4 separate regions of the Mus musculus genome follow, and regions 1, 2 and 4 are each reported to be linked to region 3. The links are microRNA targets in miRTarBase. Many come from high-throughput screens and were not tested one by one. Region 3 holds a microRNA gene; each other region holds the end of a gene's coding sequence.

What was found. Region 3 holds the annotated microRNA mmu-miR-1187 (UAUGUGUGUGUGUAUGUGUGUAA, at 1,910-1,932, opposite strand). A microRNA usually pairs through its seed, bases 2 to 8, with sites in the 3' UTR of a target mRNA and lowers its output. Matches are read on the target gene's strand: a 7mer-m8 pairs with bases 2 to 8, a 7mer-A1 pairs with bases 2 to 7 and ends in A, and an 8mer does both.
Region 1: the mRNA of Rab9b is a reported target of mmu-miR-1187. Seed matches in the 3' UTR shown: 8mer at 780-787, 7mer-m8 at 796-802, 7mer-A1 at 873-879, 8mer at 916-923, 7mer-m8 at 952-958 and 7mer-m8 at 2,456-2,462.
Region 2: the mRNA of Txlnb is a reported target of mmu-miR-1187. Seed matches in the 3' UTR shown: 7mer-A1 at 1,087-1,093 and 7mer-A1 at 1,109-1,115.
Region 4: miRTarBase lists Ptprr as a target of mmu-miR-1187. Seed matches in the 3' UTR shown: 7mer-A1 at 1,339-1,345.

The regions. Positions count from the first base shown.
Region 1 is chrX:136,858,554-136,861,737 of GRCm38, reverse strand. Rab9b (RAB9B, member RAS oncogene family) reads left to right here. Exons shown (of 3, transcript NM_176971.3): 3 at 47-3,184. The coding sequence starts at 89. The coding sequence ends at 694. Among named protein-coding and RNA genes, the nearest start is that of Rab9b, 8.4 kb to the left of the region's middle.
Region 2 is chr10:17,842,801-17,845,963 of GRCm38, forward strand. It overlaps Txlnb (taxilin beta), which reads left to right. Exons shown (of 10, transcript NM_138628.3): 10 at 1-2,863. The coding sequence ends at 680. Among named protein-coding and RNA genes, the nearest start is that of Gm20655, 8.8 kb to the left of the region's middle.
Region 3 is chr5:82,797,055-82,800,238 of GRCm38, forward strand. Mir1187 (microRNA 1187) reads right to left here and starts at 2,011; the gene lies at 1,890-2,011.
Region 4 is chr10:116,273,156-116,276,339 of GRCm38, forward strand. It overlaps Ptprr (protein tyrosine phosphatase, receptor type, R), which reads left to right. Exons shown (of 14, transcript NM_011217.2): 14 at 578-1,774. The coding sequence ends at 671. It also overlaps a transcript of Ptprb not described here. Among named protein-coding and RNA genes, the nearest start is that of Ptprb, 27 kb to the right of the region's middle.

The DNA of each region.
Region 1 (3,184 bases), not on the chromosome of region 3:
TTTTGAGTTTAACAATTTTCCTTCCTACCTGTTTATGTATTTGCAGGTTTTTTTTGTTTGCAGACTTCTCCCTGTTTGGTGCTGCAACATGAGTGGGAAATCCCTTCTCTTAAAGGTCATCCTCTTGGGTGATGGAGGAGTTGGGAAAAGCTCACTTATGAACCGTTATGTAACCAACAAGTTCGACTCCCAGGCTTTTCACACGATAGGGGTAGAGTTCTTAAATCGAGATCTGGAGGTAGATGGACGCTTTGTGACCCTCCAGATCTGGGACACTGCGGGGCAGGAACGTTTCAAGAGCCTTAGAACACCATTCTACAGGGGAGCCGACTGCTGCCTGCTAACCTTCAGTGTGGATGACCGGCAGAGCTTTGAGAACCTTGGTAACTGGCAAAAAGAGTTCATCTACTATGCAGATGTAAAGGACCCAGATCATTTCCCCTTTGTGGTTCTGGGTAACAAGGTAGACAAAGAGGATAGGCAAGTAACGACTGAGGAGGCACAAGCCTGGTGCATGGAGAATGGAAATTACCCTTATCTAGAAACAAGTGCCAAAGATGATACTAATGTGACAGTGGCCTTTGAAGAAGCTGTTAGGCAGGTGTTAGCTGTAGAGGAACAGCTGGAACATTGTATGTTAGGTCACACCATTGATTTGAACAGTGGCTCCAAAGCAAGTTCTTCTTGTTGTTAGAGGTAGGGACTCTTGACAAGTGTGCAATAAGTTGGTCAGTCTGTTGTGTAAAAACGACTGTGCTCTTTGGTAGTATGAACACACACACACATACACACACACACACATGCACACACACACACACACGTACATGAAAGCATGCTCACACAGGCAATTGCATACACACAGGTACACACAGACACATACATGAAAGTACGTGCACGCACGTGATTGCATACACACACACATACACACACACACACACACACACACACACACACACATGAAAGTAAAAGATAATGTTCTGTTTTTGAAACAGAACCTTTCAAATTGAAGTTGTAAAGCGGTTTTTTAAAAAGCTTTATTGAGCCAAGTGTATTTTGCGTAATTCCTGCTATTTTCCCTTCTTGTGTGGCTCAGGACATATCAGAAAGTTTTAGTCCTGAGAGATTTAAGTATTTTTAATCACAGTTTAAACCTAGAACCCAGCCGCATGAAGGAGTGAAAGAGCTTAAAGTGTTCCATTAACCAGCTAGCAAAGGCCACCAACTCTTGCCAAGTAGTTTATGTCATTTCTACCAAAGGGAAAATTAGGATTCTGAGCTGTGTTACAGAAAATAATGGAAGCAAGAATTTCTAAACATGTATTAGAAAAAGGTGGTGGTGATTAAGAATATAGATGTATAAAAACACACTGACATGTTCAAATCCTTACGTATGGTTTACTCTCTTATGAACTTAAGAAAAATCATTTCTATAAGAATTACTCTAATGACACTGGAGGTTGGTTCTAATCCATGTGAGTCACAGGACACTAGTGAATGGATTACGCTTAAATATGCCAACCACATTTGCAAATACATGGTTGGCCTGCTTTTCCTTCATTAAGTCTACTGCTGCTGCATAGAGATGTTGCTTCCTTGACAACTTATCAATTTAGTGATGCTGCTTAGTATGTGGCTTCGGGTGCAGTGCTCTCTGCCTACATTTTACACAGTCCTATAATTCACCATGCTGGCTCATGCAGAAGGCCTCAGAAAGGATTGGAGAGTAATGGGCTTTTCTCACAGGTTCCTTAACTCAGTTGTTTGTTAGATCTCAGATCTCAGATCTCAGAAGGATCTGATTCTTAGAATGTCCCACCAGATGTTCAGCTGGCCAAACTAGGACATTAAAACTGGCAAAAGAGCAGGTTTTTTTTTTTTTAAACTTTGTGTTAGGATGAATTTCTCGTAATTAAATTTGTTCAAATGTGGAATAGATTGCCTTAATTGTGAACTCCCTCCCAATAAAAGTAGTCACTGGCTGACTATTTGTTAAAAAGAATTACTGAACTGGCTACATGTTTGGTATAAGGTTTCTTCATGCTTTCGTTCTGAATATAAACTATGTCAGTGCCATGTCCTGGTTGGACTTACATGAAAGTAAAGGTTAAGACCATAGAGAGGGCCTTCAAAAATCCTCAAGCCATTCTGGGATTAGCCTTTAACAGCAACTATTATTTAAAAATATATCCCAAAGGTACAATGTTCATACCAAAAATGGTTTGACAATTTTTGAATACCATGACTGCCAATTGTATATACTATATTCTGAGTGTGTCATCTGTTTCTTTTTTTTTTTAAATTGGTTGATCTGCATGGATTTTAATCTGTGCTTTAAAACATGTATGAACCAATGTAAAGAGGGACAGTTAATTAGTTAAGGCCCTCCAAAGAGATTTAGGCCTGGGATTGGGTGGGAGCATTCACAGGAATACAGCCTAGAATTCTCCATTGTAGCCACACATGGAATCAGCCTTACATGTGGGACCTTACGTGCTTTAAGAACTCTGGTACTTTTGGCCACATAGACAAAAGTAGGACAGTATTTATTTCAACTCAGACTTACTCAATATTTCTAATTATTGTATAGTCCTGACCCTATTGTCCAATTAATTTAGATGCCAGAAGTCAAAGCCAGAACTGGGACCCCACAACTCTTAAATATTGGTTCCTATCTTGCCTATGCCTATAGCCAGCCACACTGGTTTCAATGTTCTACAGTCATTTTGCTACAATCATGTTAGGGTGAAAATCTGTACGTCAGAACTAATAAATGGTAATTATTTTTTAAGTGCATGAGACCTGGGGCCTTCTCTTTCTACTTGCACTCTGCTTATAATAGTTTCTATCTGTAGATCTCAGGCCTTCATAAAGATCTCCATCAGCTCACACAAAGTATTTGTCTCTGTAGAGTGGCATGTGGTCATGTGAGTAAAAATAAAAGTATGTGAGGATTCAGTTCATAGACATGCTGTCCATTGAGACAAGTGTTCATTTTATTAGCAGGCATATCGAAGCCCCTTTCTTCTTAGCCATACTTTTTTTTCTACCAAATTACTTCACAATATCAAGCACTTAACAATATGTGACAAAACAGTGGCATTTTAGTGAGTAACACTCAGTGGGTGTTGACATAGTTTGGGTAAGATTTAAAAACACCAAAAGCTGCTATCCTTGGTACCAAGAA
Region 2 (3,163 bases), not on the chromosome of region 3:
AAATCAGAGAAGCAAAAATGTCCGAAAAGGAAGACCAGGTTCAGCGCACCTCTGAGGAAGAGCCAGAGCCAAGCGTCTCTGAAAATGAAGAGGTGGACGCAGAGGAAGCCAACAGTTTTCAAAAAGCTGTGGAAAACCTGGCCACAGCTTTTACCATCCTTCATCATCCAGAGTTCACCCCAGACCAACCAACGGAAAGACAGCTGGCAGTGAATGGTCCTCAAAGTGGAAGTGATGTCACCCACCAGCACCCCGAAACAGCCCGTTTAAACCATCCCAGCCTTCCCGCTGATTCAGGGAGTCCTCGGCCCCCTGTAGGTGCTCAGGCTGTGGCGGAGGGCGTCTGTGAGGCCACACCTGCCCCTACAGCCTCCTGTACCCCTGCAGAGGCAGAGCTACAAAGTCAGGGTCTCCCTGCAGAAAATACCCCGGGTCCGAAGCCCCATAAACCAGAGGCAAACACTTCTGGTCAGGCCCCACTGTCCCCAGCCCAGGGCTCCCTATCTGTAGTAGAGGCAAAATATGATATTTCACCATCTCCAGAGAGTGAGGGAGATTCTGCTGTGGTGCCCGGCTGTGAGTCTAGGGAGCAGCCCCCACCAGAAGTCACAGACATCCCCGTAGGCCCTTCCACTGGACTCCCCAGAGAGCCCGATGCTTGTCTGAATGGAGTAGACTAAGCCTTGTTGATTCTTCTGGCTGCTCACCTGACTGCATCTTCCTCACAGAAGAAAGTCTGTGAAAGAAACTTCTAGGACTAGGAAGAGTTAGAGTCAAGACATTTTTAAAGTTGTACAGAACACTTCCAGTCTTTGCTGCTGTTTGCAATTTATAACTAATATGGAAATTCTCTGTGATTTGGCAGCCAAACACATCAATAGCAAATATACATTACTTTCCCATTACATTGGTGCCTTAATCCAGTTTGTTAGCAGTAAGATTTTGTATTTAAGGACTCCCACTATAACAAATAAATACACTGAAATATTACATTTATTTCCACAAATAACCCAATAAGATCTATAATGGATATCCAGGTTCCATTTAAATAGCATAATATACAGTGTACTTATGTGTATACACAATACACATAAATACATTTATGTATACACATACACATGTATTTTCATACGTGCATATAAAGTCATCACACAAGTATATTTTGCTCCTAACAGATTTTTCTCTATTGCAAGATATGCTTGTAAAAATTTTTCTATCTTACTTACACTCTGGACTACAGTAGATTAAAGCTCTATGGATCAGAAATAGCACATGTGCTACAATGCCTGGACACAAAGAGGACCACAAGAGGCTTTTAACAGAAAGGGGAAAAAACACAAACAGGTGCTTCTGATCTTCTCAGCCAACTTCCTCCCAACTTCCCAGCATCACCTCCTGGGTTGAGGCAGCCGCCTCCTGGCTACCTGTGAGAAGGTGGTTGGAAATAGAGAAAGCACCTAAGTAAGATTTGAGAGGTTGAGTATCCTCAGCTTAGAGGTCTCAGCCTCTTTGACTACTGATATCTCAAGAAAACACTTTTTGTTGTCTCTGACATTGTCTTTATCTCAAAGCATCTATTCCTTCCAAATTTCCTCCTTTGCGTCAATGTGTGTGCCTGGCCCACATCTCAATTAATGTTAAGTAAAATGTATTTTTCCAAAACGGAAATACATACGAGCTCTCAATAGGAGTAACAAGGCTTACAAAGCTAACACATTTTCTGCTCTAAGAATTTTTGAACAGGCAGAAGTACAAAATTTTTAAAAGGGGGGGGGGGCCTCCTACTCATAATTCAAAAATAACAGGCAAGGACTCCATAGATGTCAAAAGCAAGAAGCACTTGGGATTACCCAAACAAGTTTTATACTCTCATTGTTCGCAAAAACCTCTAATAACACTGGCAGCATAAAATGCTCTGCCTAGGCTCAAAGAAAACTGTACTAACAGAACAGGGAGAGGTGGGAAGGAGGGAGACAGAAGGTGCATAAAGAGAGGACGGTCTAATCTAACTCTATGTTAAGAAGTTGAACACAGGTAGAAATGTGGATAAAGGAGGATTCTTGAAAACTCATCCAGGAAATCACTCTTCAGTGGTGCACGTGGCTGCTTGCCAATGCACACGAGGAGCTGGGAGGCAGTAGCCATATGTTGAAGGAATTATAAAACTGTATAAAATTTATTTGAAGTAGACAGTAAGGGAAAGAACAAAAATACCATTTGGGGAAAAAATCAGGGGAAAAAGCATGCCATTATTTGAGAACCCATGTGTTTTCAGAGGCTTTGCATATTATAACCACACGGGTATCCAGCCAAGTTCAACACCACTGGAAATTAGACATTCAATTAACTCAAAGCCAAATATTCACTACACTAATCCCTTCTCTCTGTTTACAGGAGCTGAGCTTCAAAGAACAGAGTAGGATCATCACAGTTAGGTCTCAATCCAAGAGCTTAGGAAGACAAACAGGCAGGAGGCACTGACATCCAATAAATTAAGTGTTCTCATATCCAAAGTTTATTATTTTCATCCAAGAGGGTTTCACAGCAACATATCACTCACAACTGTGTGTACCTTTGGCACAGTTTCACAGACTACACCTTCCCTGAAATCTGTAAAGCTTTAATATAGACTTTGGGAGAATTATTTTAATAGTAAAAGAATGTTTTATTATAGTTCCTTGTGTTCAAACTTGGCTGTACTAATCATAACAACTCATAAGATCTGAAAGCAGAAAATATATCTCTTTTTATGAAGTTCATATAACTATTTTTAGAGATGCCAAGTCTTTCTAGAAACACTGGAATTATTGCTTTCTAAATGTAATAACATAATGTTTATACCAATTAAAAAGGCATTTCTTCCAAGTTTTCTAGTAGGTTTTTTAAATTATTTTTTATTGGATATTTTCTTTATTTACATTTCAAATGTTATCCCCTTTCCTGGTTTCCCTCTCTCCCAGAAACAATCTATCACATCCTCTCTCCCACTGCTTCTATGAGGGTGTTCCTCCATCCACCCACCCACTCCACCTCCCTGCTCTCATTTCCCCTATACTGGGGCATCTATTGAGCCTTCATAAGACCAAGGACCTCTCCTCCCATTGATTCATGACAAGGCCAACCTCTGCTACATATGCAGCTGGAACCATGTGGACTCCTTTGT
Region 3 (3,184 bases):
AAGAACTAATGGATGTAGGGATGGGAAGGTCTGATAAAGGAGGAAATATCAGGAGGGAAAAATAAAACTAAAGACCATTTGAGGATGTAATGTGGAAATCTACCACAGTAGAAACTTCCTAAAATAAATTCATATAAACATATCAGGATATTTACCATATAGTAAATAGTTACCATATAGCACATGTTGGGTTTGGTATATTGCTATGAATACAAACACCAAATTATGAAGATCTGTTCACTAACCAGACAGATAAATTCTTGGGTGCACTGGTCCTGTGTTGTGTAAATGTTGCTCCTCAATTTAAAGCTATTGTTTAATTAAAAGTTAGAGGCTGTGAATGGGCAGAAGAGAGAGGAAGGCATGGCTTGAGTGGAAATTAAGTGAGGGGTCACTAGAGAGACTATGGGTGAGAAAGAGAGGAAGATGGAGAGGGAAGGCTGTGATCCATGGAGCTGGACCATGAGCAAGTGGCCAGGAGAAGTGCATAAATAAAATACCACGTTTCTGTGTCATTTATATGGGCTAGCTAGAATAAATTTTTCATTAACATAGACATATGGAAAACTTCAACAAATGTGTGATGAATGAGCAAAACAAAATTTTTAAGGACAGAATTCACTGATGAAAATCGTCAACATCACGAGGACTGAAAATGTTAAAGTTTAATTGCTCAGTGAAGGAATATTTGAGAGTTGACTCTGATTTTGAAAGCCCTGCTATGAATAAACACTGTTAAGGTTCTTAGGTTGGAGTCAGCACTATCCTAACTCCTGTACAGTCTGAGTTCTCAGAGACCTCTGTAAGAATCAAATAATAATCTTGAAAGAAAGCAAGACAATTGCTTATGCAACATGCTTTGTCCTGGAACAAAAGCCAGGTTCATAGTCAGGCTCATACTCCTCTTGATTTTTATTCTAACAGAGATGATGGCTGTGTTGCTTCCCCATTGGCAGAGGTATCATTTCAGTCTTTCATGATTGATATATTTAAAAGAATAGAAGTAAAACAAAAAGGAGGGGGGCAGGAGAGATGGATGCTTGGTTAAGAACACTGACTGCTTTTCTAGAGGTCCTGAGTTCAATTCCCAGCAACCACATGATGGCTCAAAACCATCTGTAATGGAATCTCTTCTGGTGTGTCTGAAGAGAGCAGAAGTATACACACATAGATAAAATATACAAATTAATCTTAAAAAAAAAGAAGTGAAAAAAATAAGTTGGAAAGCTGGAAGGGGTCAACAGCCTAATCATTTAAGGTCTAATATTAAGCAGGGATCTTATGCAAATAAAGTTTTAACTCAGTGGTGAATTTAGCATTTGTATTGATGGGGAGATGAAAATATTTTAATTCCTTATCAATCTTTTATAGTATCTGAGAAAAAAATGCTAAAATGTGAACTTAATGTTTTTGTACCTCAACTAAAGTGAAGCCAGTATTTTGGTCATAAAAATTAACTTTAAAATAAACCATTATCAAGAAGTGTTGATCTGTGTTGAGGAAATGCTGTAACATAAATTTAAACACAGGCTTGATTAGAAAAAATAATTATTAGGGAAAAAGATTGCACCAATGTCTGAATGTTGACTTCTCGGGAATCAGCTTAATTTTTTTGTAAGAGCCTTATGCTACCATACTGACAACTGAAGGATATCTCAAAGTTTTGCTAATAGAGATTTAAGTGAAATCATAGGGTGATTGCCAGGAATTAAGTACAATTAGAGCTTGCAAAATAAAAGTAAAAAGTAGCCCAGAATAGTTAAGGGAGTTCGGATGTTCTCTTGGTAAATAATCTTACACTCTTCTTTGTGAGATCACCAGAAAATATCAGGAAATGAAAAGTATCACAGTGGAAGGCTACATATGCTCAGATCTTAAGCATGGCTCATTACTATTTTAACATTGTTATTTACACACATACACACACACATATATATATATATGTGTGTGTGTGTGTGTGTAAAAATAAATTGTGTCTATAAGGAAAACAGTTCGGTTTAATACTATATGACAGATACTACACACAAAAGAAAAAAAAAGAAAGAAAGAAAGAAAGAAAGAGGCAGAGAGAGACAGAGAGAGACAGAGAGAGAAATGAAGACCTAGAAATGGACCCACACACCTATGGTCACTTGAACTTCACAAGAGCACTAAAACCATCCAGTGGAAAAAAGACAGCATTTTCAACAAATGGTGCTGGCATAACTGGCAGGTAGCATGTAAAAGAATGCGAATTGATCCATTCTTATCTCCTTGTACAAACCTCAAGTGTAAGTGGATCAAGGAACTCCACCTAACACTGAAACACATAGAGGAGAAAGTGGGGATAAACTTCAAAGATATGGGCACAGGGGGAAAGTTCCTGAACAGAACAGCAATGGCTTGTGCTGTAAGATCGAGAATCAACAAATGGGACCTCATAAAATTGTAAAGCTTCTGTAAGGCAAAAGACACTGCCAATAAGACAAAAAGGCCACCAACAGATTGCGAAAGGATCTTTACCAATCCTAAGTCAGATAGGGGGCTAATATCCAATATATATAAAGAACTGAAGAAAAAGGGCTCCAGAATATCAAATAACCCTATTAAAAATGGGGTACAGAGCTAAACCAAAGAATTCTCAACTAAGGAATACCAAATGGCTGAGAAGCACCTGAAAAAATGTTCAGCATTCTTAAACATCAGGGGAATGCAAATCAAAACATCCCTGAGATGTTACCTCATATCAGTCAGAATGGCTAAGATCAAAAATTCAGGTGACAGCAGATGGTGAGAATGTTGAGAAAGAGGAACACTCCTCCATTGTTTGTGTGATTGCAAGCTGGTACAACCACTCTGGAAATCAGTCTGGTGGTTCCTCAGAAAATTGGACATAGTACTACCAGAAGATCCAGCAATACCTTTCCTGGGCATATACCCAGAAGATGTTCCAACTTGTAATAAGGACACATGGTACACTATGTTCATAGCAGCCTTATTTATAATAGCCAGAAGCTGGAAAGAACCCAGATATCCCTCAACAAAGGAATGGATACAGAAAATGTGGTACATTTACACAATAGAGTACTACTCAGCAATTAAAAACAAAGAATTTATGAAATTCTTAGGCTAATGTATATATCTGGAGGATATCATCCTGAGTGAAGTAACCCAATCTCAAAAGGACACACATGATATGCACTCA
Region 4 (3,184 bases), not on the chromosome of region 3:
GTCTACATGTAAAAACCCGGATAGCATGACCTACCACACAACTAGATGACGTGCTATATGTACAGCATTTCCTGCTTCTCTCAAAGCCACCAGGAACCAATGGAAGCACAGGAGAAGATGGCACTGTCAAGAGGTGCAATAGCTATGAGATGCACGCAGTGGCTGCTAGCCTTACATGGCATACAGTTGTCCAGTCAACCCTTAACACTGAAATCAGAGTACATGCTAAGTCACACTAAGAAGCATAGTAAATACCAATGCTATCAACAAAGTTAGCATGATCCATTCCAAGGAAATGTACAGTAATTACAGCTGCCACCAGGTAGGCTCGTTCACACCAGCATCATCGTTATCGCTAACCTGTGCATAACGCACCATGATACAGCATTGGTGCACAGCATGGGACTGCACTAACATATTAACTTCGCCAGCCAGGATGGTAAAAAGGGTAGAAAAAAAATTCACTAGATCAGCTATTCTGCCTGTTTGGCATAAGACTCATTCTAGCGTCATGTTTCGGTTACAGTATTATAAGGTGTCAGCAAAACTGAGTGATTTTATAATCTCTTCCATGCAGGGGTGGTATGGTCCAAACCAGCGAGCAGTATGAATTTGTGCACCATGCTCTGTGCCTGTTCGAGAGCAGACTTTCACCAGAAACTGTCGAGTGACTCCGAAGATTTACCAGAGTGTCAATCTCTCACCGGGTGATTCATCAAATTACCTACCAAGAGCTCCAAGAGGGGCTCCCTGCAATGGACGAGGAGGCTCTAAAGCCAGCCTAAGGCACTGATTGTGGAAGATCTGGCAACATGAAAGATTGCCAGCCTTTGTGTATAGGACTGCGTTCGTAGGCATCCCCCCAGTTATTCTGAAGGTCCTGTGCTGATGGAGGCATGACAGTCCTCTCGCAGCCTGAGGAGGGTTTTGTTCTGTCTGTGTCGCCTCTCCGCCGCACAGAATCGATGTGTGTGATATTCAGAGACTGGAGGAGCTGCTGACATTATCCTGTGTTTAGATGCTTTAATGTTCATAAAGCCTGTCTTGTGACTGGACTGTCAGCTGTCCAACTGTCCCTGTTGTAAGTGCTATTAACTATCTCAGTTACCAGAATCTTGCTGCTCAAGTTTCGAGTGATCGACAATGGATTTTTAACCAAGACATTTTTGTTTTTGGAAAAAAAAAAAAAATCAAATGCAGTGACTATTTTATATGGACATGTGTCTTGATTATATCTATTAAGTGTGCATTTATAGTATCTCCTATGGATCAATTACAGAGCACAATGACTGTCGTTGGATATATATGTATATGTATATGTATATTATATGTATATGTACACATATATATTCTATTATTAGGCATACAAGTGGCTCCTGTTCCACAATACTAACTACTATATTTCTACATTGTGACTTGTTTTACTTTAAAAGGGGATAAACAAATTTATAGCAACTATAAAGTATCAATAATTTTAAATACTCATCTCTCTTTTACTAAGAAGGGATTTTTAAATATGGTGTCTACCTGGTATCTCTCTCCCAATAAGAAGCAGGTGCCTTTGGGGAATGCTCCAACCTGTTTCATCCCCAAAAGTTTTTCCGAGGACACTGTCATGCACGACCTCACATTTCTAAAAGACCTCCTTCCTCAAGAGACAAATGAAGGCAAAATAATCACACTCAGCAAACAGGAGATGTTCTGCTCAGATATGAATTTTCAATGCAGCAAAGCTGACTTTCTTTCGTACTCCCAATAAATGACTCTTAACAGTAAATACTGAGTGAAGCCTCTTCTTTACTTACTCCCGGTAAACTGAAGGAGGTAATAGGACGGATTTAATTTTAGTCTTTTCCTCAGGGCGGGAGATGACTCTCTCCAATTGCAATCTTGTAATCACTTGAGAGATAATGATCTCAGAGCTCCATCATTATGTGGTTTTCCTTATGGACGCCAGCATCTCATTATACAAACAGTACATGTTTATGTCTTTATATCACTTGTCACAGACCCCATAAATTACATGGCTTACGTAGATGGGGCAGAATCGTATCACCTGAAAAGAAGCCGTGATGCAGGAAGACTCAATTATCTACCATTACGATTCCCTTTCTCCATCTTGAGGTTAAGACATAAGCATGTGCCAGAGGGGTGGCAGGGGTGACTTTCTGGGGTTTGTTCTGGCTCCCGGAGGCTGGCTCTACATTTTAAAAAGAGATGGACATTATCCCTCCTTTCTAAGGAAACAGACAAAAGGACACTGGTGTAAAACTTCCCCCCCAAACAATTCAATTGGAGGAAGTGTGTCACTGACTTTCCCCCTCTCCGTGAAGCACGTTTCCTTCCTACTCTTTGCCTCTCTTATCTGGGAGAAATTTTTTTTTTCCCCAAAGCGAAGCATGAACCGTTGTTAAGTGGAAAATGGAGGCTGAGTTTTACATGACGATTCTAACCTGCTTGATCCTCGGGAGCTTGGGTGAGTGGGGCTACCTCAGTTCCCTGAGACATCTCTCTCAAAGTTTGCCAGGGAAGCTGGTAGCCTTTGGGAAGGTATCTGAAAGAAATCAGAATAGGAGCCGGGTCTCCATGGCTCGAGAGCCAAAGCTGATGAGAAGGGGGTTGGGGGGATAAAAGGAGACAGCTCTGGCCACACTTCTGAGATTTCTCTCTAGAAGAAAATAAATGTTTACAGAGTGCCTGGGACAGCTCAACTCCTGAAAGGATGGGTCTTGGAGCGAGGGACCCTGAGCAGACATCTTTTATTATTTTCACATAACAGTCTATATAAGCACTCTGTTCCTTGTTCTAATCAAGTTATAGCTTTACTTTCTTGCACTTTAAGAAAAATATATACGTAAGGAACGTGACTAAAGGGAAGAAGGAAATGTGTTTTATTTGGAAGTTGTCATTTGGAGGGATTGAATATTTCCAAGGGAATGCTAGGTTGCTTAGGTTAAAACTAATTGATGTCTGAGCCTGAATATTTTACTTTTTACTGTGAATGTTTAAAAACTGGGCATTTGGTCTTTAAGGAGTACTGATATATATATATATATATATATATATATATATATTAATGTGTTAGTATTTGGTGGAAAACTGTAGACATTGTCACAAAATCGATGCTTCTCTGTAATAAGGAACTTAGCCTCTGGTAATCAGGAACTTAGCCTCTGGTAATCAA